Linked DNA regions of Tribolium castaneum. Each later gene encodes a partner of the first gene's protein in a complex. Links are inferred from orthologs where the notes say so. Each region holds a gene or a part of one and is shown on either strand. Other genes may lie near its edges. The genes, in order: Nipped-A, Taf5, Ing3, Eaf6, Tip60, pont and Brd8.

The links.
Region 2: Nipped-A (region 1) and Taf5 share a complex: the UniProt entries of both Homo sapiens proteins name them as parts of the TFTC-HAT complex. The link is inferred for Tribolium castaneum from reciprocal best matches to the Homo sapiens genes TRRAP and TAF5.
Region 3: Nipped-A (region 1) and Ing3 share a complex: the UniProt entries of both Homo sapiens proteins name them as parts of the SWR1-like complex. The link is inferred for Tribolium castaneum from reciprocal best matches to the Homo sapiens genes TRRAP and ING3.
Region 4: Nipped-A (region 1) and Eaf6 share a complex: the UniProt entries of both Homo sapiens proteins name them as parts of the nuA4 histone acetyltransferase complex. The link is inferred for Tribolium castaneum from reciprocal best matches to the Homo sapiens genes TRRAP and MEAF6.
Region 5: Nipped-A (region 1) and Tip60 share a complex: the UniProt entries of both Homo sapiens proteins name them as parts of the SWR1-like complex. The link is inferred for Tribolium castaneum from reciprocal best matches to the Homo sapiens genes TRRAP and KAT5.
Region 6: Nipped-A (region 1) and pont share a complex: the UniProt entries of both Homo sapiens proteins name them as parts of the SWR1-like complex. The link is inferred for Tribolium castaneum from reciprocal best matches to the Homo sapiens genes TRRAP and RUVBL1.
Region 7: Nipped-A (region 1) and Brd8 share a complex: the UniProt entries of both Homo sapiens proteins name them as parts of the SWR1-like complex. The link is inferred for Tribolium castaneum from reciprocal best matches to the Homo sapiens genes TRRAP and BRD8.

Annotation. Positions count from the first base shown.
Region 1 is NC_087401.1:16,678,124-16,681,623, reverse strand, and holds part of Nipped-A (transcription-associated protein 1), read left to right. Parts: intron 1-971; coding exon 972-1,651; intron 1,652-3,500. UniProt on the Homo sapiens protein: Adapter protein, which is found in various multiprotein chromatin complexes with histone acetyltransferase activity (HAT), which gives a specific tag for epigenetic transcription activation.
Region 2 is NC_087398.1:2,407,342-2,411,405, forward strand, and holds Taf5 (cannonball), read left to right. Parts: upstream 1-1,264; 5' UTR 1,265-1,328; coding exon 1,329-1,385; intron 1,386-1,428; coding exon 1,429-2,014; intron 2,015-2,060; coding exon 2,061-2,388; intron 2,389-2,439; coding exon 2,440-2,596; intron 2,597-3,049; coding exon 3,050-3,370; intron 3,371-3,424; coding exon 3,425-3,934; 3' UTR 3,935-3,987; downstream 3,988-4,064. Other genes in the region: heterochromatin protein 1, read right to left, coding at 1-467, 541-798. UniProt on the Homo sapiens protein: The TFIID basal transcription factor complex plays a major role in the initiation of RNA polymerase II (Pol II)-dependent transcription.
Region 3 is NC_087397.1:1,048,017-1,051,911, forward strand, and holds Ing3 (inhibitor of growth protein 3), read left to right. Parts: upstream 1-1,263; 5' UTR 1,264-1,377; coding exon 1,378-1,405; intron 1,406-1,482; coding exon 1,483-1,554; intron 1,555-1,601; coding exon 1,602-1,747; intron 1,748-1,793; coding exon 1,794-1,993; intron 1,994-2,039; coding exon 2,040-2,283; intron 2,284-2,465; coding exon 2,466-2,629; intron 2,630-2,678; coding exon 2,679-2,904; intron 2,905-2,953; coding exon 2,954-3,070; 3' UTR 3,071-3,395; downstream 3,396-3,895. Other genes in the region: uncharacterized protein LOC103313454, read left to right, coding at 1-26, 66-227, 273-395, 437-609, 657-937, 987-1,213. UniProt on the Homo sapiens protein: Component of the NuA4 histone acetyltransferase (HAT) complex which is involved in transcriptional activation of select genes principally by acetylation of nucleosomal histones H4 and H2A.
Region 4 is NC_087398.1:15,239,154-15,243,146, forward strand, and holds the start of Eaf6 (chromatin modification-related protein MEAF6), read left to right. Parts: upstream 1-1,193; 5' UTR 1,194-1,334; coding exon 1,335-1,412; intron 1,413-1,499; coding exon 1,500-1,703; intron 1,704-1,758; coding exon 1,759-1,795; intron 1,796-3,993. Other genes in the region: peroxisome biogenesis factor 2, read right to left, coding at 447-863, 912-1,022.
Region 5 is NC_087402.1:5,803,531-5,807,416, forward strand, and holds Tip60 (histone acetyltransferase Tip60), read left to right. Parts: upstream 1-1,313; 5' UTR 1,314-1,708; coding exon 1,709-1,759; intron 1,760-1,814; coding exon 1,815-1,872; intron 1,873-1,922; coding exon 1,923-1,991; intron 1,992-2,040; coding exon 2,041-2,874; intron 2,875-2,924; coding exon 2,925-3,087; intron 3,088-3,148; coding exon 3,149-3,365; 3' UTR 3,366-3,386; downstream 3,387-3,886. UniProt on the Homo sapiens protein: Catalytic subunit of the NuA4 histone acetyltransferase complex, a multiprotein complex involved in transcriptional activation of select genes principally by acetylation of nucleosomal histones H2A and H4.
Region 6 is NC_087395.1:13,831,749-13,835,975, reverse strand, and holds the start of pont (ruvB-like helicase 1), read left to right. Parts: upstream 1-1,427; 5' UTR 1,428-1,507; coding exon 1,508-1,648; intron 1,649-1,698; coding exon 1,699-2,002; intron 2,003-2,057; coding exon 2,058-2,320; intron 2,321-4,227. Other genes in the region: Abcd3 (ATP-binding cassette sub-family D member 3), read right to left, coding at 420-659, 712-833. UniProt on the Homo sapiens protein: Possesses single-stranded DNA-stimulated ATPase and ATP-dependent DNA helicase (3' to 5') activity; hexamerization is thought to be critical for ATP hydrolysis and adjacent subunits in the ring-like structure contribute to the ATPase activity.
Region 7 is NC_087396.1:10,840,518-10,844,534, forward strand, and holds the start of Brd8 (bromodomain-containing protein 8), read left to right. Parts: upstream 1-1,217; 5' UTR 1,218-1,618; coding exon 1,619-2,009; intron 2,010-2,130; coding exon 2,131-4,017. UniProt on the Homo sapiens protein: May act as a coactivator during transcriptional activation by hormone-activated nuclear receptors (NR). Isoform 2 stimulates transcriptional activation by AR/DHTR, ESR1/NR3A1, RXRA/NR2B1 and THRB/ERBA2.

The DNA.
Region 1 (3,500 bases):
TGTTTTTCTTGACTTTATAGGATGTTTAATTTTTTTTTTCAAACTTAAAATAACTAAAATAAATGCAAATGTTGGTAATAATTATATTTCTGGCTTGAAAAACCTCATAAATCTTTCGAAAAGCTGATATTTTAAGTAATTTTTTTCGATTGGTCGAAAATGATGTCACGAACTTTTTAGTACTTTCCCGATATTGTGAGTCATAGGAGCCTTTGTGTACTTTTCCTATTTAAATAAACTACTAATTTATAAAGACTTTATTATTTATTCTTGTTTCATAATGTTTTTCTTGACTTTATAGGATGTTTATTTTTTTTTCAAACTTAAAATAACTAAAATAAATGCAAATGTTGCTAATAATTATATTTCTGGCTTGAAAAGCCTCATAAAACTTTCGAAAAGCTGATATTTTAAGTAATTTTTTTTTGATTGGACGAAAATGACGTCACGAACTTTTTAGTACTTTCCCGATATTGTGAGTCATACGAGCCTTTATGTACTTTTCCTATTCAGAAAAACTACGAATTTGTAAAGACTTTATTATTTATTTGTCTTTCATAATGTTTTTTTTGACTTTGTAGAATGTTTAGTTTTTTTTTCAAACTTAAAATAACTATAAAAAATGCAAATGTTGGTAATAATTATATTTCTAGCTTGAAAAACCTCATAAAACTTTCGAAAAGAAGATATTTTAAGTATTTTTTTTTCGATTGGGCGATAATGATGTCATGACTTTTTAGTACTTTCCGAATATTGTGACTGATACGAGCCTTTAGGATTTTTTTCCATTTAGATAAACTAAAATTTATGAAGACTTTATTATTATTTTTGTTTCATAATGTTTTTCTTCAAACTAAAAAAAATAAAAAAATAATCTTTTTCTTAACTTTGTAGAAGTAACTTCTTAAACGCTACTAAATTAGTTTGTAACTAGAATTTGGCAGAGATTGTTATAGTTTCGTTCCTCTTAGGTTGGTAGAATGTTCCCTCAGGCTGTGTACTTCCCCATCCGTACGTTATACCTAACTTTACGTACGGCAACAGCGCGTAAAACAAACACAGTCCAACAACAACCCCAAGACCAAACCGACACTCAAAATAACCAACAAGAGAGTGGCAACACTGCCACAATCACAACCAGCGAAACATCTTCAATCAAAGCAACACCTGCTATGATCCGCTGTTCAAAAATAATGAAAATGCAACGTGATATTCACACCACGGCACTGTCAAGTCTCGAAGGAATTGCCAATCAAATGGAGTGGTTTAGAGAGAATTGGTACGAAGAGGTTTTGAGACAGTTAAGGCAGGGTTTGACTAAATGTTACGCGATTGCGTTCGAGAATCGTGAAAGTGTAAATGAGGCTAAAATAACACCACATATACTTAATTTTGTGAAAAAGTTAATGTCGACGTTTGGCATTGGTGTTGAGAATATTGGTTCGGTGGTTACGTTTAATTCGGCAGCTAGTGAAAGTCTGGCCAGGAGAGCCGAAGCTACGTATCAGGATCCGGTGTTTAAGGAGATGAAGCAGGATTTTACCAAGGATTTTGATTTTTCGCAAACGAATTCGATGCGCTTGCATACGTTGATTTTTAAGCTGAAGAAGTGGATCAAGATTTTGGATAATCGTTCCAAGATGTTGTTACAGTAAGTACATTTTTTGGAAAAAAATATGTTTTGTCAAAATTTTGTGGTCTACCTTGTAGTTACGCTCACTCGTTTTGGCAAACATCATGATTGTTAAACAAAGTCGGTCGTCTTGAATAACTTTTATTTTAAAAACATGTTTTATTATGAAACACTTAAAAATATTAACTTGTCTTGTATTTCTTTAACAAAAACAAATAAGACAACAAAATATTTCAAAAAATAAAACAGGTAGGTAATTATTTGTCATTTATCCTAAAATGTAAAATTGTATCACACATTGTGTTGAGGAAAATTTTCTTGCACAATTATCTAACAAAAATATTTCTTTTACAAAACTTATCGCTTATCATAAGTCATATTTCACCAGAAGTAAAAAACAATCTAATATATTACCACACGCGTTTTTTCAACTTGACAGCCGCTTTATTGATATTTACATGATGACATGTATTTTGCAAGCGTAATTGCTTATAAATTAATTGAGATTATGTCATTTATCAGTTGGATTTTCTCATAAAAGGGGGAAAACAATTAGAAACTAATTCTGGGGAATTTGTAAAAAAATTTGTAAAAATAAATTGTAAACAAGAAAGGAAACACAGAAGAAGAAGAATGAAGCAAGATGGATAAAATAATAATTAAAATAAAATAATTTAAATTGTTTTTTAGGACAGGTAGGTAACATTAAAAGGGTTATTATAAGGTATAAAAAATCTACATTTTTGTAGCAAATTTACGAAAGCATAATATTTTAATCAAATTAACACTGGAAACGTTAATAAAATTTCGATCAACTGTGCAGCAAAAATTGAAGCTGTTAAATTTATTTTCTATGATAATTTGTAATTAAAATTCTTTGTAAAGCTTTTTAATAGCTTTTATTTTGTTTTGTTGTCAGTTTCATATTTTCTGAGTCAAGCTTTAAAGGGTTTTTATTGTCCGAATGAACTGTAATTTTGCATACTTACGTAATTTCCGTGACAATGCAATACTAATTAGTTCGTCACTCAAAAAGGAGGTTAACTTTTCAATTTTCGAAATACGGTTCAAAAAGGTGTAGAAGTAATTGTAAAAAATCTAACAGTTGAATTATTATTATTATTATTTTTAAAATACTTTATTTTTTTACCCAAAAACCTATATAAAAAAGATATTTGGAAGCTACCAAAGAGTAGCTTGAGCCCGTTATGTCAATGTAGAGTTAAATAAAAACTTAAGATTAAACTTAAAAAAACATATTTTGAACTTCAAAATAACCTGACTCTTGAGTTAACTTAGACTTTTCTAAGTTTTCAGGCCTGACCTGACTTGACTGTTGAGTTTACTTAGACTTTTTTTAAGTTTTTAGACCTGACCTGACCTAAAAATTGAGTTTACTTAGACTTTTTCTAAGTTTTCAGACCTGACCTGACTTGACAGTTGAGTTTACTTAGACTTTTTTTAAGTTTTTAGACCTGACCTAACCTGAAAATTGAGTTTACTTTGACTTTTTGTAAGTTTTCAGACCTGACTTGACCTGACTGTTGACTTAACTTAGACTTTTTCTAAGTTTTCAGACCTGACCTGACTTGACTGTTGAGTTTACTTAGACTTTTTTTAAGTTTTTAGACCTGACCTAACCTGAAAATTGAGTTTACTTAGACTTTTTTTACGTTTTCAGACCTGACTTGACCTGACTGTTGAGTTAACTTAGACTTTTTCTAAGTTTTCAGACCTGACCTGACTGTTGCGTTAACTTAGACTTTTTTTAAGTTTTCAGACCTGACCTGACCTGACTGTTGAGTTAGTTTAGACTTTTTCTAAGTTTCCAGTCCTGACCTGACCTGACTGTTGAGTTACCTTAGAC
Region 2 (4,064 bases), on another chromosome or scaffold:
TTTGCTTCCTTAGCTGGGACTAAATCGGTCTCGTCGGTTCCCTTCCACTTCATCAGAAACATCAGCTGTCCTGTGGTGTCTGATGCTCCTATGATTTTCTCGGCTTGGTAGCCCCGTTCAAAGCCGACTTTTGATTTACTCTTGGATGAACTATCCTTCCCCTTTTCAGATTTCGACTCAGACTTTCGCTTTTTCTTGGATTTTTCGTCGTCATCGCCTTCTGATTTCTTCTTTTTCTTGGACTTATCCTCGTCGTCAGATGAGTCAGACTTGTTTTTACCATTTTCGTCGTCGGAATCTGCGTCTTTTTTTGAATTCTCTTTCTCGTCCGTGGAATCTGAACGACGGCGAGCTTTCTTCGACTTGGGCTCGCCGTCGGAGTCCTCCGTTTCAACCGCATGCTTCTTGGGCCTGCCTTTTGATTTCTTTTCAGACTTCTCTTCACCGTCCTTGGATTTTTTCTCTTTCTAGGGATACACAATTAAATAGATTTCGGGTCGAAGTGGGCTGGTTTTTGCTTGGCTTATCCAATAAACCCACCTTTTTTTTGTCACTATCCTCGTCCGCACTTTTCGTGGTGGAAGACCTCTTCGCCTTGGCTTTGCGCGACTTTTCAAATTCCGCTATGAGATCGGGACAATCGAGATTGTCTTCGGGTTCCCAAGTATTATCGTCTTCGCTATAACCTTTCCACTTGAGAAAATATTCGACCTTTCCGTTTACGACCCGCCGGTCGATAATTTTCTCAACTGAATATTCCTCCTCGCTCTCGCTGTCTTCTACCTTCTTTTTGCCCATTTCTGCAGTTTTGTTTGCGAATAACCGGTAAAGCGATGCTGACTGCGTACTTCTGGAACAATAAGTATTGCTTGCATTCAACTTCGTTACTAAAATGCTGACTAGTTAAGGTAGTGGATAATAATGCGATTGGAGCCGTTATTTACTTACTTTCAACTCTGGCTCTTAAAAAGCCACCACAAAACACCGCCGAAAAGATCCTTTTAATGGCGCTGGAAATATGGCGGGTGGCGGTTAAGAAAAAAATGGTGCCAACACAATTCAACCAATTAAAAATTGTCCAAAAACGACTCTCAGAGTTTTAAAAAATATAGCCAGGAGTTACAACTCTCATACTGCGCTCTCTGAATGAAGAGAAAATCGGATTGTTGCGAAATAAGCCTAGATTTTTTATAAATCGACGTTGAATGGCAGGCTTTAGGGAAATTTTGCGTTATTGATTGTTGTCATTTGCATTAAAGTGTGGTTAGGGAAACGTCAGTTTGTGTTGTATTTATTATTTTACGAGTTTATAAATGAGCGCCGAAGAAATGGAAAAATCTCAACTTGCAGCCGTTCTGCAAATTTTGAAAAAATACAATTTAAAGGTGAGCTTATGGCGAGTAAGCACAACGTAACATTTTTCATTAGGGCACTGAGGAGCTGCTACGAAAGGAGGCCAATCTCGGTAATAACATAGCTGATGGCCCTTTGCAACAAAATTCAGACGTTAGTAGCGTTCTGACGGGGTACAAGAGTGACGGAGATCCAGAAACCTATGAGGACTCTTACATGGAGTTAAAGCGTTTTGTTGAGGGCTCCCTTGACATTTACAAACACGAATTAGGCATGATTTTATACCCAGTTTTGGTCCACATGTACCTCGAATTGGTTTATAATGGACATACGGAGAAAGCGATAAACTTAATGAAAAAATTTGGCCCCGAACAAGACTCGTACTATCAGGAGGATCTCAGGAAGTTGGCTTTGGTCACAAAACGGGACCATATGAACGGGAACGAATTGACAGACACCTTCAAATCAAACCAGTTTATTATTCGAATGTCGCGTGACACTTTGTCACTTTTAAAACGTCACTTAAACGACAAAAAAGCGTCAGTTTTGCTGAACATCATCCAGGAACATCTCTACTTTGATATGTACGAAGGCGTAGCGAGGAACAAAAGCCAGATTGATGCCACGTCAGGTGCCGTTGGGGGAGAGGCAAAACGACAAGGTTCATTTTCGTTATCATAATTACAATAAACACATCAAAATTCCAGATAATAAAACCAAAGTCTATTACGGCATCCCCAAAGCCCCCGACATTCAGGCACTAGCAGCGCCAGTCGAAGACGAGGACGAAGGCGGCGAACAGGACAATCCGGACAAACCTAAGAAGAAAAAAGCCAAAAAAGACCCACTTTTCTCGAAAAAAACAAAAAATGACCCAAACGCTCCACCGCCTGATAGAATTCCAGTCCCGGACATGAGAGACCACGATAAGTACGAAAAAGTGAAGGCGTACAGAGAGGCCTCAAAGAGAGTTACGTTAGGCCCGGATTACCTCCCTTCAGTTTGTTGTTACACCTTACTTAACGCCAATCACACGTTAGTTGAGTTTATTCAGTGAAAATATTTTCTTTATCGGGGGTTTTTTAGGGTTAATTGTGCTGAAATCACCGAAGATTCGAGTATGCTGGCGGTGGGTTTCAGCGATTCAATTGTTAAAGTCTGGACACTTGTGCCTCAAAAACTGAAGGCTATGAAAAGTGGGGAGCAGCTGGAGGATGTCAATGTTGACGTAGAGGATGTCGTGGTAATGTTACATTTTTTTTTAATAATGAAATCGATAAAGTACATGAAAAAATATATAATCAATCAAAATTAAACGATAAGTAAAACTAAATCAGTAATTTCGATTACAATTTTTTGTTCAGAAAAGACTTTTATTATTACTACAAAAGTAATCACTCATTTTTTTAATACAACATTAAATATATTCAAAGTTAAGTTGAGATTTTAGTTTTCGCCCCCATCAAGTCGATAAAGTAGACACCGACTTAAATTAATCGACTACTTGAATAAATAGCGATAAAAATAGGTCGTTGCCGTGTGGAAACCGTCAACATGTTTAAAATCGCAAAATAAATGACTGGAAGGTGTATCATTTTTATTCATTTAAACAGTGTACTTAAAGAAATCTGCCAAGATAGCAACTTATCTGTCATCTTGGCCAGGTTCCAAAAACTTACATGTTTTCAACATGCAGGTGAGAATGATGGATGAAAGGTCCGGTGAGACTTCCAGATCGCTTTACGGCCATTCAGGGCCTGTTTACTCGGTATCATTTTCCCCAGACAAGACTCTCCTTATCAGTTGTTCGGAAGACACAACAATAAGATTATGGTCGTTGCAAATATGGACTTGTCTGGTGGTCTACAAAGGACACATGTTCCCCGTTTGGGACGTCAAATTCTCTCCCTTGGGCTATTACTTCGCTTCGGCGTCGTACGACCGCACTGCGCGACTTTGGGCCACCGACCATTACCAACCGTTGCGATTATTTGCCGGTCATTTCTCCGACGTCGATGTAAAAATTATCAATTTTTTTTTAATATTTTTTTACAGAAATTATTAATTGTAGTGCGTCCAGTTTCACCCAAATTCCAATTACGTTGCGACCGGTTCCAGCGACCGCCGCGTCTGTTTGTGGGATTGTACGACGGGAAATCATGTCCGACTTATGACTGGGCATAAATCGCCCATAATGTCTTTGGCGTTCAGTGTTTGTGGGCGGTTTTTGGCTTCCGCGGGGGTGGATTGTAAAGTGTTGGTTTGGGACTTGTCCCATGGACACTTGGTTGCAGAACTCACCGGGCATGAGAAGCCCATCCATGCACTTGCTTTCAGCAGATGCGGGAATATTCTAGTTTCAGGAGGGTTGGACTGTTTGCTCAAAGTTTGGGATTTTACCAAACTGACTGAGGAAATCAGCTCGGAGGAAGTAAATGTGTCGCATAATCCCGATGTGAGGATCGGGGATGATTATTTATTGAGGAGTTTTGCGACGAAGAGCTCGCCATTGATCAGCCTTCACTTTACGAGGAGGAATTTGCTATTGGCTGTTAGCATGTTTGATGGTGTTAGCACTTAGTTTATTGTAATGTGTATTATTTACCTTGATAAGAAATAAATTTTTTAACGATTTTTTTGGGGTTTGGTTTATGAATCGCTTGAAATAACACTAAAATGTTAAAATAGAATTCCGAGTTGAAAATAAACAG
Region 3 (3,895 bases), on another chromosome or scaffold:
CAGAATATAACGCACACAGATATAAGGTAAAAGCAGAAGCTTCAGGCTTGGTTTACTCCCGTTAGGTTTTTTCAGCGAAACCGAAAACTGATACCAAACCCCTCCCCATGAATCCGTTCAATTATATCAACCTTCGAAAGTTACGGGCAGACGCTGAGCGGTTACAAATGATTGATAAGGAGAATAAGCAGCTCCTTAAGTCCATAAATACGATAAATAGGACCATCGTAAGATTTTGATTTTAATTGTCTTGAAGTGAATTTTTAACGTAGGGAAAAATTGATTCGTATAATCCTGAAGCCTATGCGTCTAAATCGAAATGGCACGCTCACGTTATGAGGATGAAGAGAATTGACCGCAAAAATAAAGCAATATACGAGAAACTGATGGCTGCAGTAAGCCCAAAAAATTAGTTTCTTTATTTAACAGTTAACAGACTTCCAGTTACGATTGTGAGTCGTTACGTAAATTCTGGACCAGTATTATTGAAAAATTGAAACTAACTTCCAAATTCCCTTTGGTCATCCTTCAGAAAGTCTCAGTCGATTCAGTTATTGCAAAACAGCCGTCAATTAGTTGCGGACTTGAGAAATTATCAGAACGGCCCCGGTATAATTAAAAAAATCAAACAATGACTTAATTAATTGACCCCGAAGGTGTTTTTTGGAATTTCAAGTGCTAAATGGCCCAGTTCTGGGCCGCGTAGAGATCGAGCTTTATCACGACCACGTCCCTGTCACAGTCCAGAATTTCTTATCAATTTGCTGCGGTGAGAACAAACAGAACCTTTCGTATAAAAACTGCCCAATCAATCGAATAGTTCCGGGCCGTTTTTTGGAAACTGGGGACATAACTAAAGGGACAGGACGTGGTGGGGTGTCAATCTATGGTAAATACTTTGCAGAGGAAGGCCACATGCTTAAGCACACGAAACCTGGTACAAAACCCGAATTTAGTTTACGAAAAATTCCTGAGTGTTGTTTCAGGAGTTTTGTCCATGGTGCGTGTCCGCAAACACGATAACAACTCGCGCTTTTGTATCACCTTCACGAAAATGGAACAGTTGGATATGCAGAACGTTGTGTTCGGTTATATTGTGCGAGGGGCTGAGAATTTGTTTAAAATTGAGGGGTATGGCCGCAGTATCGGCAAGCCTTTAGCCCCTGTAATCATCTCGGACTGTGGGAAATTGAATCGGGCGCTTGAGTGTTAGTGGTTTTCGGGGCGTCATGTTGTCGTTTGGAATTAAAAATGGCAGTTTCCTTCCATCAAATTGTGTGAAGTTTGCAGTTTCGGGTTTATATCAGGAAATAAAGTCGTAATTAAACACGTATTTACTTTATTATTTATTATTCCGTACCACATTAATACAGCAAAATGTTGTATCTGGAAGATTACTTGGAAAGTAAGTAAATCAGTTACTTTGGCGTGGCATTGACGGAAACGCCAATTGTCAATGTGGCGCTCAATTCGAATTTTTAGTGATCGAGCACCTACCTCAGGAATTACGGGACAGGTTTACAGAAATGCGAGAGTTAGACTTAACAGTGCAAAGTAAGAGTTTGATAGTTAGAGTTGATTAAATAAATTATTAATTGTAGATAACATGGATGAGTTAGAAAAGCGGGTGAAAATTTTTTTCAATGATTGTAAGCGCTATCCCGGTGAATTACCGCCTGCCATTCAAGTCGAGTTCGAAGCTGTGAAAAAAGAGTACAAAAAGACGCTCGAGGACGCAGATGAGAAGGTAGTTGTGGGGTTGTGTGACCACTTAATGATAATTTGAATCAAAGGTGCACCTCGCTAATCAAATGTTTGAACTAGTTGATAAATACCTGCGCCGGCTTGACACAGAACTACATAAATTTAAATGCGAACTAGAGGCAGACAATAAGGGCATAACTGAAGTTCTAGAAAAGCGGTCACTGGAGTTAGACACTCCAGTTAATTCAACAAATTCATCCCAACAACAAAAAGAAAATAGATACGAAAGGTGGTTTTCATTTATGGGAACGTAATCTTTGTTAGTGCTAATGTAGTTCTAGCAGCTTTAGATATCGACAAAGAAGCGAAAAAAGACGGGATAGTAGTAACTCTTTGCAGACCTCATTTGCCGAAAAAAGACAAGCTGTTGCCCCCATACCTCTCGTCGAGACCCGGCATAGTTCAATAGGCCAATCAACGCCCCCAGCTCAGTCTAACGTTACTTATAATTTGGGGCACATAGGCGCGGGGCCTGCCATTGCGGCTGCGGCCTCACAGGCCATCGCTGCCACTCAACAGGTAAAAAATCACTAATTTTATACCATTTTTCGCCTAGAAAATTGTCAAAAATAATCCATTCAATCAGTGGTGGCTGTTAGGACACGAGCCGGGGCGAGTGTCGTATTAATAGCCATTGAGTGCGACCTACATACACTATTTTTTCTACGACCTTGATATTTTATACTATACTGTTTGATCAGATGCAACAAGGCAGGAGGACAGCAAGTCTTAAGGCCTCGTATGAGGCGATAAATACAGGAAGCCATGGTCATGAGTTTAGTATCGGGCGCGAGTTGGCTGGGGCGGCGCAAACGGCCATTCAAGCCATCCAACAGGACCATGCCAATAACAAGAAGAAGCAAAAGTAACGATTTTTCCCATTTTTTTTGGTTAAATTTAATTTTGAATTATAGGAAATGGTCAGGTGGTAGTGCTAGCGCACCTTCGGCGTCAACAACAGTTCAACAAATATTAAATGCTCCGCTTGCTAGTGCCGCCCCTGAATCACCGTCAATAGATGTGTCTTCACAAAGCGCGGAAGTAACAGATGGGGAGTGGACTTATGACCCCAACGAGCCTAGATATTGTCTCTGTAATCAGGTTTCTTACGGAGATATGGTCGCTTGTGATAATGAAGACGTAGGTTCTGTGAAATGTTTCTGGGTGTGTTTTATTATTGTTGTTTTAGTGTCCAACTGAATGGTTTCATTACCCATGTGTTGGTATTACTGCACCGCCAAAAGGCAAGTGGTATTGTCCACAGTGTTTAGCGTCAATGAAACGTAGAGGGAGCCGAAAAAATTGAATGTGTTGATAGAGAGTTTAAAAAGGCTTGTAACAATTTCTCGGAGGCGGGAGAAAAGAATCAGAAATGAGTGAGCTTGTGCAGGAGAAAATGTTAGGGAAATTCGAGATTATTTAATCTGTTTTTTCCACAGAAACGGAATAGTTGTAAAAATAAAAGTATTCAACTGTCATTGTGTTTTTATTGTGATTAATGATTTCCTATTTAATATTAAGATCTTGTGTAATTATGAAAATGTAATATTTATGTATGCTCAACTTTTTACTCTTAAATAGTATTGTAAACCGATTTATTACGCTTATAAATTATAAAACTTGAACAAGAACAGAGTTTTATTTGACACATTTCCTACCCTATCCTTTTTAAGACGTTTAATTAACTTTACTGGACATTGATAACTGAATAAACTAATCACACAGATAATAAGTACATATAAGCAAGGATCAAAATCTGAATTCCAGTCTAATGTAAAACAAAATAAAGCAACAAGAGCGTAAACACATTAGATATTATAATTTTGATACATGAAAATTAATGGAATCGGTAGTTTAACCCACTTGAAAAGGGAACCAGCTCAATATTCGAATTTTACGGTAAATAATTTAAATATTACATTGCGAAATATGTATGTACATTTCCATGCACAGCGACCATTTGCACCGAGTTTTACACACATTACCTAATATTTCCTTGTAAAAATAATAATTAATTAAAAACGCACCTAAAATCTAATGAAGGTAACGAGTAGTAACGAAAATATCAGCCTGAATGCAAGCGAAATTGCATGCCGTGAAACGGTCGGATTTGTAAAAACCCTCCACCTTC
Region 4 (3,993 bases), on another chromosome or scaffold:
TCTTGATTCGTTAAAAAAAGTAAAATATTCCAAAATTGCACAGTTGATTGCCTAATCTCAGACAAATAATACAGGATGTTTCACATAATTTTACGCGACCTGCGCCTCTAAAATGCCACCTACAACACATATTCCGATATACGAACTCGATTACAAATTTTGAAAAACTGGATTGTTTTTTCTTGTTTGTTCACTCCTTCAAAAAATTACGTTTTTAGTCAATTAGTGATTAAGATAAACAGATTACTGTCACGGGTTTCCACAAAATAAATAATCAAATGTGAATTTTTTGTATCTAGTGTTTTGTGACTCTTGAATATTTGGGTGCGTATGTATACATTTGGCGCAGGCCTCGTAAAGTTATGTGAGACACCCTGTATAATTATAATTACTATGGTTATCTAAACAATCAACGGAAAAATAAATTAAATTGAAAGAATTCTTACGATAAATCCATTCCAAAGTAATTCTCTAGATAAATATTTCGCTTCAAAATGCCTTGGAGCAGTTTTGGTTGAGTACTCTTGGTTCAAACCCAAACACCTTTCTATCAATAACGGTTTAACCCCACGTCGTAGAAATATGGACATATTGATAAAATTCAATAAAACTAAAACCATGTGTATCTTAAACATAAACGTGTTAACCTTATGCGAGGGCTTCCAGAACTCGAGACGATGTTTAACGTAATCAAAACAGTTCCCAAACAAGTAAAGAATTTTCTTGAAATTCGACATGTTGCTGTACTTTATTGATAAAAGTTGTTGCCCAAAAGTGCTCTCATTGCGACAGACTGAATTTTTCAGAAGCGCTAAACGCACAATTAGGCCCAACTCAGGTTCAATGGGGGCTATATAACCAGGCTAAAATTACACTTTCAGGCAACCAAACCTTAACAAGGGGGCACTTACGGGTAAGAAACGGCTAGTCTCGTGAAGAATTCGCATAAGGGCTTTGTAGATTTCATTATCAAGGAAAATTGCGTTCATTTGGGTGACTCTCAGTAACTTATCGTTGGACATTTTGCACAAGTTTTAGACAAATTGAGCGTTTGGAATGTTGATTTATTGCAACTATTTGTATTTTTGGCACTATTTGTTGTTTTTTAATTATTTCATAATGATCATAACCTCAGAATTTGTGGAACTTTTCGGGTTGTTATGTTGGCAGCGACGTCACGGGTGACGTATTTGACATTTGGCGAAACGTCAAGTTGTGAGGTGTTTTGTTGGAAATAAACAATTTTTAGTGTAATTACTTGAGGCACTTAGCATAAAACAACGACTTTACAAGTGTAACGTTTCCTTTTATCGTTTTGTGATAATAAGAACAATATGTCGGCCAAAAACAATGTTTCGGTGGATGCCCGCCAAGAGTTAGCAGAACTTGTTAAAAGAAAAGCAGAAATTGCGGTAAGAGTTACTTTATAAATGTTGAAGCTTTGTATTAAGAAATGTTTTTCTGTTTGGCTTAAATTCGCGGTCTTTAACCAATTATAGGAGACGTTAGCAAATCTCGAGCGCCAAATTTACGCGTTTGAAGGTTCCTATTTAGAAGACACTCAGTTGTATGGAAATATAATTCGAGGCTGGGATCGGTATTTATCGAGTAACAAAACAACAAACTCTAAGGCTGATAAAAGAAATAGGAAATTTAAAGAAGCCGAACGTCTGTTTTCTAAATCGTCCATAACCTCAATGGCTGTGAGTTGGGACGAGTTTTGTGTATTTTTTTTGTATTTTAATGAACGTTTTACAGGCGGTTAGTGGAATTGTTGACCAAAATCAGGAGAAAAGTAAGAATAGTTATGAAATAAAAAATCATTCATACGTCTAGTTTTTTTTGTATTCGTTTTGTAGCTTTTTTGTAGTGTTTGTGGTAGTTTTGCTGTGAACTTTCTTCTAGATAGATGTTTTCTCTAGTTTGGTCACTGCCTCTTATATGCACTGGAAAAATGAGAGACATTCCAATAGCTCTGTAAATGTTTTACTCTAAAATTATTCAAATTTTGCAAGCAATGAAACAAAATATTACAATAATTTAGAGTTTATTTTCATTGCTTACAACTCCCACAGGGAGTAAATTGGGAGGCATATTGAACATTTTACATTTAGTTTTACTTATTTATTTGTTTTGTTGTTAGTTGTGTCATAAACCCTACAAAAACAATTCACCAACAGTAAAACTTCTATAATCCGAACGAATTCTATTGCAGCAGGTTCTTCGGATTATCGAATTAACTTTTTTCTCTTACTTTAATTGAATAAAAAAAAATAAGTATTTTTATTTAAAAAATTTCATAGGGACATATACCGAGTAGAACAAACAAATATTTTTTTTACTTATTTATTTTATTGTTATTATTTATCATAAACCTCTAATAAATTCGGACTGATATTTTTTGAATTAACTATTCTCTTATTATTAAAACGAATAAAAAGAAACATTTTTTTTAACTTAGAGTGATCCTGTTAAGAGAATTGTAATTTTATATAAAAACTGTTGTTTGCATTGCAACACTTCGTTCAACAGAAAGTTAATTGACAGGTATTTTATTATTACTAATATTATTATTATCACAAAAGATCATAGAGGAGTCCCTGTCGGGACTATTTTGCTTAAAATTAAAATAAAAATAGTGGTGGTAAATACGGTATTTCAATTCCACCCAAAAAGGTTGTCAGTTCTTGATTTAAATCGCAAGATGTTAGGTGCATTTTTTATGACCATTTTATGTAAAACGAACACTAGGACAATCAAATGTTTATATTTTTATTTATATTTCTATTGTTTAGTTTTTCATAAACCATGCCAAAATAATATACAGTAAAATTTTTATAATGCGCACTAATTACTATTGCAAGAGGTTTTTAGAATTACCAAATTAACTTTTTCCTCTTAATTAAAATGATTAAATAAGCAAAAGTAAGTATTTGTATTAAAAGAAAAACAAATATACCTAGTGAGCCTGTTAAAAGCATGTTTCAATTTTATATGTATAACAGGCAGTTACGTTTAGAGACATTTTGAACATATTATTTAAAATTTAAATTTGATTAAAAAAATCAAGTTTCTATTTTTTAATTTTAGTTGTTTTAATGTTATTGTTTGTTTTATCATAAACTATATAAAAATACACTAAAACCTATTATAATTCGAAATACTTACTATTGCAAGAGGTTCTCCAATCGGATGATCGAATTACATTTTTTGTCTTCATTAAAATGAAATAAACAAAATACTCGTAAGTATTTTTATTAAAAAAACAATCAGAGAATTACATATTTTAATCACTATACAAAAATGTTGTAAACGTTGTTCATCTGGAAGTAAATTGAAAGACATTTTGAACATTTTGAGGAACAACGAATAAAAATATTTTTTACTTCTTTAATTGTATATTTTATCGTTAATTATGTCTGCAAGAACATTACACAGTAAAACCATTTTAGTCAGAATTACTATTACAAGGGGTTTTTCTATGTAACTACAGTAGCGAGGGGTGCTTCTTTTAGTGAGTTTTTCTCAATATTTCAGAAACCATTACAGATAATATTACAATATTTGATACAGTTAATAATCTTTATATTCCCAATCGAATTCGAGAATCTAATGTAATAAGAGCTGTCAGGTTGGCATTATCATAAATAGTATTTTTTTTTAATTAAGGTTGGTGTAATTTTTTACCTAGAAAATTCAATTTCCAAATTTTTCAAGTTGTCTCCAATTTACAAGACGTACAACAACACATTTAGTTATTTTAGACCACCTTTAGAGTAACGAATTAACGATTAACACTAACGTCCAATTTTCAAAAATGTCAAATCTGGTGTTCAAACTGTCAAATACAGAATACAGCCAGTTTCTAAAGTGGTTGAACATGAACTTTTAGGGTGTTACAGTCTTTATCAGAATTTTGACACTGACAGTTGATTATACAAAAAAATTAACTATAGAAATTTTGAGCAGGGGCGTTCCAAACTGGAGGGAAGT
Region 5 (3,886 bases), on another chromosome or scaffold:
CAAGTAACAAACTGAATAAATTGAACGAAACGGCACAATACACAATAATTTAAATAAACCGCCTCACCTCACCTCGCTTCGCTTCGCCCCGCCTCCCGGTCCCGCTCCCGATCTGACCCGTGCCGCTGCTCGCTGTCGACTGAAGCGCTCTCGCCGCCTGCGCCGCACACCTAACCTCGGGACACGTCACGGATGTGACGTCACACAAGTCTAAAACAGGTCATTACCAGAAATATTCACTGTCAAAATCCGTCAAATTTAGTAACATTCATACACAGAATTATTCAAAATAGAACAGCATTGATCTAGAAAAATTAATTATGACAAATGTATTTGCCTATAAACGTCTAAAATTATAAAAGTTTCGCATGCAGTCAATGGAAAAATAAAAATGCATATTTTTATTTAAACAGAAACTGGCAATGTGAAATTTTGGTGCGAAAAGTTTTATCACACGAGCCGACAATTCTTTCAGACTAGCCGTGTTATGTGTTATGTTGCTCACAAAACGGACAACAAGGGGGTTATCACGGAGACTCAGCTGTGACGAACGAATTTTATTTTTACATAAAGGTGATTTATTTGTTACCTCAGTCAAATTTTTCAGCGCGATTATTTCAGGCGGCAAAGTGCGCAATTTGTTTTTGTGCAACTGGAGCGACTTCAAGTTGTGCAAATTGGCGATATTTGACGGCAAACTCTCGATTAAGTTATCGCAAAGCACCAAAGCCTGCAGTTGCTTCAGTTGGCCTAGAGTTGAAGGAACTTCCACTAATTGATTGCCACCCATCGACAAGATTTGAAGGCTGCAATCATTATCACGTGTGGTCGTTTTAATCGTCCCCACTTACCAGTTTAATTTCTTTATGTTTTTCGGTATTGTTTTAATTTTATTCCCTCTTAGGTACAGGTACTTTAAATTAGTAAACTCAAACAGTTGTTCGGGAACTGTTCGAAAACATTCCCGCTCAGGTTTAACTCCTGCATGCTCGCACTCTCAGCGAAACTTTTCGGGAGGGATTCGTTACTGAAGCGATTATTTTTCGCAACCAGTGTTGTTAAATGCCAGTACTCGAAAACATCAGGTAAGGTCATAAGGCCGTTGTTGCTGATATGGAGGACTTGGACGTTTGTGACTTTTGACAAGTTTTTGGGGAGCGTTGTGAGTTGGTTGTGGTGCAAAATAATCGACTCTATGTCTTCTCGTTTTGCACAGTCCTTGCCTAGTTCGTCCAAATTTTCTTCGAGTTGTTGCGAATCCAAGAGCAAATAGGCGAAACTCCGTTTGAACTGTGGGCTGCGATTAGGAGAACGCTGCGTTCAAGCGAAGCTAAGGTCAAACGTGTTATCACCAATTTGTGAACAAAGCTTGGTGAGGCGTTAATTTAACAATGAGTCTGAGAATGGAATTGTGTGATTTTATCGAGTGTGCTGGTTTCGGGGGAAACCCCCGAGCAACACCCTACGCCCATGACTAGATAATGATAATTTATTAAATAGTAGACACTTGTGTGTATTGTTTCGGTTCGCCGAATGTGCATATACAGATAAGTCGCATCAAAACATTATTTTGGATAACAATTATGCAATGGAAAAAAATCGTTATGGATATTGCGCATTATGTTTTTTGCGGTAGTTGTGGTGGTGAGGTTTGTTCGGCAATAATTACAATTTTTCCCCCCGAAATTGTGAAAAACAAGCAGAATCGATGAAAGTGGAAATGGAGGAAATCGACGACAGCACAATTTGTGATTCTGTGGTATATTTTCATTAAAAATTGCAAAACCAAAATGTTGACACAACCTCACTTTTAGAATTCGTTAGTGGAAGGATGCAGGCTCCCGGTTCACATGACCGGCACTTCCGACTGGCGTAAGCCCCACTTTGGCACATTTTGCACGTTTTTATGTTTTAAATTGCAGCTTTGGCCGAAATTATCAGTATTAAGGACGTGCAAGGCTCGAAATTGTACTACGTCCATTACGTTGATTGTAAGATTGGACACCCGTTTCGTTCCTTGTGAACTAACTTGGGTTTTAGTTAACAAGCGTTTGGACGAATGGGTGACCGAAGAATCGCTCGACACTCGTAAAGTCCACTTCCCGAGACGTGACGGCGGGAGTAACACTGGAGTCTCAACTCCGAAAAAAATTCACATTGGGGGCGGTGGTGCCATCGGTTCGGTATCAAGGCCCTCGAGCCCTGTGACAGCTGCCTCCGAACTTGTCAACGGCAGTGCTGTCCTAGCAGCAGCGTTGCAAAAACGCATAAATAGGAAACGAAAAGGGCCGTCTCTTGAGAGCGAAGACTCGCAAGATGGGCCCACACAGATGCCCCCAGGGCCGAGGCAGTCTGGGAGCATGGTGTCGCACCATGACGATGTGGTCACCAGGATGAAGAACATCGATATGATCGAGTTAGGGAAACACAGGATAAAGCCGTGGTATTTTGCGCCATATCCGCAAGAAATGGTCAACTTGAGCTGTATATACATCTGCGAGTTTTGCCTCAAGTACCGAAAGAGCAGGAAGTGTCTAGAACGCCACTTGGTCAAATGTAATTTGAGACACCCGCCCGGAAATGAGATTTATCGCAAGGAAAACGTCTCGTTTTTTGAAATTGACGGGCGGAAAAATAAAGTCTACGCCCAGAATTTGTGTTTGTTGGCGAAGCTGTTCCTCGATCATAAAACACTGTATTACGACACGGACCCGTTTTTGTTTTACGTAATGACCATTTTTGATAATAGAGGGTTTCACATTGTTGGCTATTTTTCGAAAGAGAAGGAATCAACGGAAGATTTTAACGTCGCGTGTATTTTAACCATGCCTCCGTATCAGCGAAAGGGTTACGGAAAATTACTAATCGAATTTAGTGAGTTTGAGTGCGAATTTTTGTTGTCGAAATTTCACGAATTGTTTCAGGTTATGAATTATCAAAGTTCGAAGGTAAAACGGGTTCTCCCGAAAAACCTCTCTCCGATTTGGGTTTGCTTTCGTATAGGAGTTACTGGGCACAAGCTATTTTAGAAATCTTAATATCAATGAAGCCAGTGGGTGATAACGAGAAGCCACAAATAACGATCAAGTAAGTATTTTTGATTATTTCTTTATTTTTCGTAATTGTGAAATGTTTGTTCACTTTAAAGTGAAATTTGTGAGTTGACAAGTATTAAAAAAGAAGACGTCATCTCAACTTTACAAAACTTAAACTTAATCAATTATTACAAAGGCCAGTATATTATAACGTTAAATCAGGAAATTATGCAAAGTCACAAAAAAGCCATGGATAGTAGACTTATCCGAATCGACCCCAAGTGTCTGCATTGGACACCTAAAGATTGGGGCAAACGCGCCAAGTGGTAGATCAATAAATGATTTTTTACATTTTCTCTTTTATTAACATATTCCTCTGCCAATCCACACTGTTCCTCCTCACTTAATAATAGTAACACTGCGAACTTGTGTTTTGACGGAGAAACATGGAGAAAACACCGGGTTCAGTAGTACATTTTTTACGAAAATGCATTTTGTTTGTATTTACTGGCACATTTTACGTCCAAGATATTATTAAGTCGAAAGTGGTATTATTTTTGCGTTTACGCATATTTTTTATTTAGAAACTCACTAGTTTCGCAATTGTCAGATTTTACTCTGAAAATCGTCGAATTATTTTTATTAAAGCGAAGTGTGAGTTAAAGTGGACTACTTTTCAAACGTTTTAGTCGTTTTTCATCACCTTGTGAATTTTGAAATCAATGAACTTGCGATTGCAAAACTAATCTTCAATTAATAAAAAAATGAAACGTTTTCCGTTGTTTATTCGTACGTTTTATTGTGTAATATTTTGTTTTGGGTTTGTTTATAATACTGATGGGAGAGGATGT
Region 6 (4,227 bases), on another chromosome or scaffold:
AATAATCCAGGTCTGTATACAGATATCCAATACAAGGAAACAAAATATTACATAATGGCAATGCGAAGCAATTTATGAAACACGTGTTATTAAAAAAATACCAACTGTAGGGTGAAAGCTGTGTCAACAGCAATATCACAACGGTAAAATATTGGTGGTATTTTTCCTCTTTAGATTCAGACAGATAATGAACCCCTCAAGGTTAATGAATTTTAATTAAATCGGTGACTTTATACAAATATCCAGTCACGATGATAACACGGTAAAAAAGCAAAAATATTTCTACCAAAACCGTTGGCTAAGACGGCATAAATATTTGACGCCTTTACTTAATCACATAAAGTTCAGATTCGGAATGCAATTACATAACCTCTAAGCTTCCTTAACTGAAGTAACCAACAACTCATTGTTCGATTTACCTTTCTATTTTCGTTCCATTATCTATCATCCATAAATCACACACAGATCTAGCCACTAAACTCGCAGCTACAAGGAATAGAAATCCCGCCTCAGGTGAAGTCCATCCTGGGATAATTATTCTAAGTAGGTGATTAAGTTGCTTAAGAAATTGCCTATCAACTTGCGCCTTAATCCTATTTTCTTTCTTCTCAGATATAAAATATTTCACTTCTTCATCCACGGTTTTCCTGACTTTTCTCCTAGAACAAAACCGGAGTCAAACAAGTCTCGAAGTGGGGTCAATTTTCATACCTGTCCAGTTTGTACAAATTTTTTCTTCGTCGTGATATTAAAATCCATAATAAAGCTGTCGATGCTCCAGCGGCTGCAAGAGCATTGTTTCTTGTCACATATTTGCTAAAACTGGGTGCCATTTTACTTCATCTTTTCGCACTTTTCACAAGAAGTATTGAGTGATCGTGACCAAGCAGTTTTCCGATCAATTGTATTTGTTTCCACTCACTCATCCACAAACACTGACACCTAACGTTTAAGCAGACTTTACCAAGTATTTTACTGATTTTACTGAGCTCCAGTCAGCGACTGTCATTGGAGCTTCGACCGATCACATGATTTTGGCCGAACCTGCAAGACAGGGACAGCCGCAATTTGAGAAAGAGACAACAAACACGCCAAATACTCACCTGTGGAATGCATTAACCGATCGTTAAAATCGAAAGGATTCATTAAAGGAAAATTAGAAAGTTTTCCATTTTGTGATAATTGACAAATGGCCGTTCTGTCATGTTGAGCTGACATGCCATTTCTCAGGTGTCTCAGGTGACTCGATCAATGTAAAATTAAATTCGCAATTTCTTTAAAATTTGACTAGGTCATAGTATTATAATGAAACATTTCAAAAATCACTTTGTGACTGCTGAGTTCGAACAGAATATTAAAAACGATTTTTTAATCAAAAATGAATTTGAAATGGTCACTATGACCACCCCAACGCTCCAAAATTCTCCAACCGGTTGTTGCCATACCAACATCACAACAATAAAACTCAAATTGATCAAGCAAAGTTTGGTTAGCGTGTTTTCCAAAAATGAAGATTGAAGAAGTGAAAAGTACGGTGAAAACGCAACGAATAAGTGCCCACAGCCACATTAAAGGTTTAGGGTTAGATGAGAATGGTTTCGCGTTGCCAACAGCGGCCGGCTTGGTCGGCCAAGAACAGGCTAGGGAGGTTAGGTTTGTCTTTTTTAATCAGAGTTCGGCTAAATTCAGTGGTTTCAGGCCGCAGGGATTGTGGTGGATATGATTAGGAGTAAGAAAATGGCCGGACGGGCTGTGCTTCTAGCGGGTCCCCCTGGGACCGGTAAAACTGCGATAGCTTTGGCCATCGCGCAAGAACTGGGTAATAAGGTGCCCTTTTGCCCCATGGTGGGGTCCGAGGTTTACAGTTCTGAGATTAAGAAGACGGAGGTGTTGATGGAGAATTTCCGGAGGGCCATAGGGCTGCGCATTAGGGAGACTAAGGAGGTTTATGAGGGGGAAGTTACTGAATTGACTCCTGTTGAAACGGAGAATCCTGCTGGAGGTTTTAGTTTTTAGACACTTTGACAATGTTCTATATATTTCTTTTGGTTTTGTAGGGTATGGAAAGACAGTAAGTCATGTAATTATTGGCCTGAAAACTGCAAAAGGTAGCAAACAACTGAAACTCGACCCCAGTATTTATGAAGCCCTTCAGAAGGAAAAAGTCGAAGTAGGTGACGTTATTTATATTGAAGCCAATAGTGGGGCTGTTAAGCGTCAAGGCAGATCTGATGGATATGCGACTGAGTTTGATCTAGAAGCTGAGGAATATGTACCGCTTCCAAAGGGGGAAGTTCACAAAAAGAAGGAGGTGGTTCAAGTATGTATAATCCGCTCTTAATATTTTTGGATAAACGGTAGCTCCGTGTTTTTTTTCAAGTTTCAAGACAAACTGAACAGTACAAATAAATCAACAAAATTTAATCATGTTTTTGAAAAATTGCTAAATTACTCACACATACATTATTTTTGTCTTAAGACAATTTTACACTTGTGACAGTTATTTTTAAGAGATTGGTGTTGTCACGTAAAGTTGTTGCAGAAATAATTAAATATGGTCAAAAAGCCCATTGTTTTTGACGTTTGTGGAGTATTAGCAATTTTTTTATCCAGAAACGCAATTATACAGGGTGTTTCATATAATTTAAATGCCACCAACATTACATTTTCTCTGGATTGTTCACCCTTTTAAAATTTATTACGGTTTTAGGTAGTTGATTTTTTTAGTATTTTTTTAGTTTTCGCTTAATCTAGCAAAATTATATTAATCAATCTTAAGATTACATTATGTTTACGTTTCTCGAGCATTTTGTGGTCAGAAATAATTTTTTTCGAGACGTTTGGTCAAAATTTCACATTATGTGAAAAACCTTGTTTTTGCCATTTTTGAGTTTTACCAAATTGTTTTCAAAGGAAACACAATAATTTCAATACATCACCGCATTGTGTTATACAGCGTGATTCAAAAGTGACGAATAAACGCTCGTATAGTAAAAAACGAAGTTTAGTTAAGCACAAAAATGAACTCAAATTTTTTTAAGCAAAGTAATTTTGATATATTTTTAAACTGTTTTCCTTAGGTATCCATTTTTGCTATTTTGTTTGCTATGATATCGAATTTCGTTTCCGCTAACTAAAGTCAAAAAAAATATCATCTGATGCACCAATAATTTAACTTAAAAATTTAACTTTGAAGAGCTATATCTCGTGAAAAAAGACTCAAACACTTTTTTGTCATAGGAACTTTTAATTCAGTTTGATGTCTTTTATCAGCACCCCAGAGATTGTCCCCTGCCTTTGAATCACACTGTATTTAAAACTGTTCCAAAAGTAAAAAATCTGATTATTTTATCTTTTTTTTTTTTTCAACTAGAAACTCATTTTTTCCCGGAAATTAAATTTAAAAATAAGCCGAAAAAAAAGCACTTTACATTGTGAATGTGCTATACATTTGCCTTTTTAAGTGCTTAAGTACTGTGCTAGTTTTTTTTTCTTTGGAACTGGTCCAAACTATGGTAAAAAATTGTAGTCTAAATAAATAATATTCTTCAGCTTTTTTAATTACACTAATCAGCGTTTTCAAAAAAAGTAATAATAAAGCTTACTCTAATTATAAACTTAAATGATCACAATGTACTTTTTAAGGCTAAAAACTTAGTTGCTTTCGCTAGACAAGCAGAAAACGACAAATGTTTTTCGAGAAATTTCGTCTGCATCAAACTATGTTAAACGTCTTTAGCAAAATTTTAGTCAGAAACTCAATTAAAAAAACTCTACATTACGTTAAAGAATGTGTTTTATTTTAGCATTTTTTTGACTTAAAGACTCGCATAAAAGTTAATAACTAAGTCAAAAAAAATTTATTTTGATTTTGTAGGCAAAAAAGCAATTATTTGAAAGAATCTTGTCAAAAATACGCCGAATAAACCCACTTTAATTTGAGGATGGTGATATATTTTTCTTTTTTTGAGGATTTAACTACTTTTTTGTTAAAAATCCCGTTGTTTTTCGAGATTTAGATTAGGTAATCAATGACATTATGTGTCCCATTTTATTTATGGACATTTTAGATAGGTTTTTCTAGTCAAGGCATTGTAATTATGTCGCGAAATTTCGTCAAAAATAAGTGGAAGAAATACTGAAATGAAAGAAATATATAAACAAGGTAATTTGGCCTCTTTCAAGCTTTCAAAACATATTTTCGATTTAAAAACTCAATTATTGCGA
Region 7 (4,017 bases), on another chromosome or scaffold:
TAATGAATATCAATTATATCATATAATTTATGTTAAAATAGGTTTCACAAATTCTTGCCATGATGAATCCTAGCCTAGACTGAAATTATAAATATTGCTTTGTTACGTAATGAGAGTAGAGTATATGAAGTGTTTTAGTTGTAAAGGATGTAGTTACACACACTTTAGGGGTTAAAACTGCAATTCTGTAACGAAGTCTGTTATATTTTTACCGAAAGTGCTCATGCTGTTATCAAATTAGGTGACGTAACTTTGGGAAATGCTTTTGACGATGAGAGCGATTTTAACAAAATCATTTCTTATTCACAAAATTACGATTTGTTGAAAATTTCCTTCACAGTCATATTCACCTTATAAGTAGGGATTTTTTTCAGAATCATGTAAATAAATGTAGAAAAGTGCCTATTTTAAATTGCGCATCGCTACCCTCTTGGTCAACTATTAGAGTAATCTCAAATTATTTAATGTTTTAACTGTTGTTATAATTTGGTTTATAATTGAATAAAGCTGCATTTTTACAGTTTGCCCGCATTTCCTTCAACACACAAAAACATTTCAAACAAATTTATTCAACTACTATGTTACAAAGTAAACTATCATAGCGTGAAACACAGTAAGAGGACCGCAAATCCCAGACGCTCATACTGATTCATGATTATTGCAGCAACGCCAAAACGAAAAGCCGCTTTCATAACTCTTGCATTCCAAAACATTATTATCAGACGCAGCCAAGTTGAGGAAGGTCTTGTCACACTTGTCTCAAACGCTGGTGCATTCACCGGCTTGTCGTTTTTTCCACCACTTTTATGAAACACTCCATATTTGTCGATGTAATAACTGATTCGCCCTTCGGGGGCCATTCTGAATACTGTTTCCACCTTTTTTTTTTTTTTCAAAGAGTATCCTTACATTTGATTGTTATGTATACACTCACAACTTCTTTTTTTACTTCACTTTGGGACACTGGGTGGAGCTACCACCAGAAACAGCTTCCAAAGCATTCGAAAAAAACATTTTTTATTGCATTCCATTCGCAAGAAAGTGAGGTTAAAAATTTGACAACTTGCCACTAAAGTAGCTACCGCGCAAGCTACCGAAATACTTAATAACAGAATATGCCATAAAATTCGACAAATACAAAAAGGTGGCCACAATCTATATGTATTTGATAACATTAAACCAGCTACACCCAAAATACACTAATTAATTAAAAAACAGTCATTAAATTAATACTTTTCGATCATAAAAGCCCTCGTCAAAAATCACGGTCTGTACGTAATATCTAATAATGTCTGCGTATGAAATTTTCAAGATTATTAATTTTTATGAATAATAAGATCTTACGAAATTATTTAGACAAGTGTGCTTGAAACATTACATAATCTTACACTGATTGTGGTTGACTTTCTTTAAAAATCAGGCAAAACTTCTGCATAGTTTGTCCAGGTTTGACACTTTGACAGTTGACAAATATAAACAACGTTCAAGCTTGTTATAACGATAATTCTTGTGTGCGAATTTCTACTTCAAGAATGTTTATTCAGTGATACTATTAGTCACTTTCCTGGCAAGGTTCTTGTATTTGATTTTTGGACGTTCGGGCCAACATAACCTCAAAATGAGTTCAATTGAAGAACGTTTACAAATAAAGCGTGAACCGCTGGATAAATGGTCAATCCGTGAACAGTTGGCTCTAGCAGTGGCTCGTAACATGGACCAGAATTTAACAAGTGTGAGCCGAGCTTTAAAACCCTTTGGTGAACCCAACAGACCCCCTGATTGGTTCCACCAGAAGAACTGTGCAGCCCAGTATGGGGCTCTTTTAGCGAATGTTGAAACACCTAAGAGGAAGAAAAGAACGTCTGGGGGCGAAGTCACTATCGAAACCCCCGCCGAAGTCATTCTACGCAAACTTTTGGCCGAGAGACAAGCTGAGCTCAAGAGACTACTAGCGGAAGAAAAAGCAGAATATCAGAAATTGCAGAGAGATAAAGCTCTGCTTCAGTCAGGTATTCACAATTAAATTAAAGTTGTTTGAAGTTACAGGGGCTATATTAGAGCCTCTCAAACTTAAGACTGTTGCGGAAATTCGGTTAAGTATTTTTTGATAATTAATTGTTTTATTTAAAGGTAACGTAAGTGAAGAACAACTGGATATTTGGTGTAAGGAAATAGATGAAGAGGAACACAGGAAGGAACAAGAAGCCCTGGCACACGAACAGTGGCTAAAGGAGAGGGAGTTACGAAAACAGGAAATAGAAAGAGCGTGGAGACCAGTTAAGCCATCCCCGGTGATTGGTCAAAAACGTAAAAATTCCGAAGCTATGGACACAATCCCAGAGATGGAAAATACAACAGAAGAACAGAAAATCCTAGTGCAGGAGCCCCCTAAACCGGCCCTATCGCCACTTCTGACAAGTCTTCTGAAATCACCATCACAAGTTCCAAACGTTACAACTTCCTCAATATTGCATTCAGCGATTACCAACCAACGGCCAACCAACACAACTACTAGCCCCATGATTGCCAGTCTTTTAAGCTCCTCAACTGGAGAAACAGTTTCTCCAGGATTGCAACTTTTGGTTAGTACAGCTATAGGACAAGAGCCAACCGGAGAAGAAACCCAACAACAGAATGTCAATACTAACGATATCCTCGATGATGCCAATCTACAAATTTTGAAAATTGATGACTTGGCGAGCAGTATCTTGATCCAGAATGGCCCACTTCCAGAAATAAAGAATGACGTTGATGTTATCATCTCCGATTTGATTGAGAACGCGCAGGATATAGTTGCAGATCCGGAACAGCATCTACAACTGGATGGAAACGGTGATCTTAATCTAAATTTGGAACTGGAAGATTTCGAAGAGAGTGAAACTGATATGAAGGACGAAACCAAAGAAACAGAAAAACGGACGGAAACTACAACACCGGCAATAGATCCGTTTGAGTTCCAAGAAGATCCGGAAGTTTTTGAACCCGCTAAACCTGCAACAGCCGTGAAAACAGACGCTTCTAAAACTATGGTAGCACAGGACAGCGACGATCGGTCACAAACTACTGACGAAGCCCCAAATTCAGACAATAAACACTTAACTTCAAATGGCGAAGAATCTCGGGATGAACTGGTAGAAGTAAAAAACGAACCAACTGATGATTCCGATAAGAAAGATAAAAGCACAACTCCTGGATCCGTCGAAATTGTAGAAGTTGTAGTTATGGATGATGAGGATACTGACAAGGAAGTCAATAAAACTGAAGATCCAGCCCATTCCGTTAAAGCGGAACCAAAGAAAGAAACAGCAGGGGAAAGTACAGAAGTTGCGGAAATAAAATCAGAAACAGACGCCAAAGTTTCAGAAAATGAAAAATCTAGTGTAGAGATTGAGAAGAAAGACGAAAGGAAACTGGACGAGTCAACCACATTGACTTCCGACTATAACGAGGAATTGTACGACGATATCAATATGGAAGTGAAAGTGGACAAGACCGGGAAAGCAAAGCGCGATTATTCCAGGACGAAGAAGAAGGACGATAAAGAATTTGATGTTCTCTTGGCCATTGAAAAGGCGCAAAGAGACGAAAGTGAGTTGGTTGAAGAGAGTTTCTCTGACCGGGATTACAGCGAACTGGACCGTAAAGACAGCAAATCGCGGATTAAGAGCGAGAATGAAAGATCTAACAGTCCCTGGACGGAGGAGGAAGATGTGTCTACAATACGGACAAGGAGGCGACTTTCAACTCCTGCGACTCCGATTGATTCAGTTCCAGGATCACCAGTTTCCAGTATATATTTTTACGATGATGATCGGGAGTATCGCAATTGGAAGAAGTCTATAATGCTTGTGTATAGTAGATTGGCTGCAAATAAATACGCGTCACTGTTTTCTAAACCGATCACCGATGACCAAGCTCCAGGGTATCACAGTGTGGTGTATAGACCCATGGATTTGTTGACGATTAGAAAGAATATAGAGAATGGGGCTATAAGAACAACGCAGGAGTTTCAAAGAG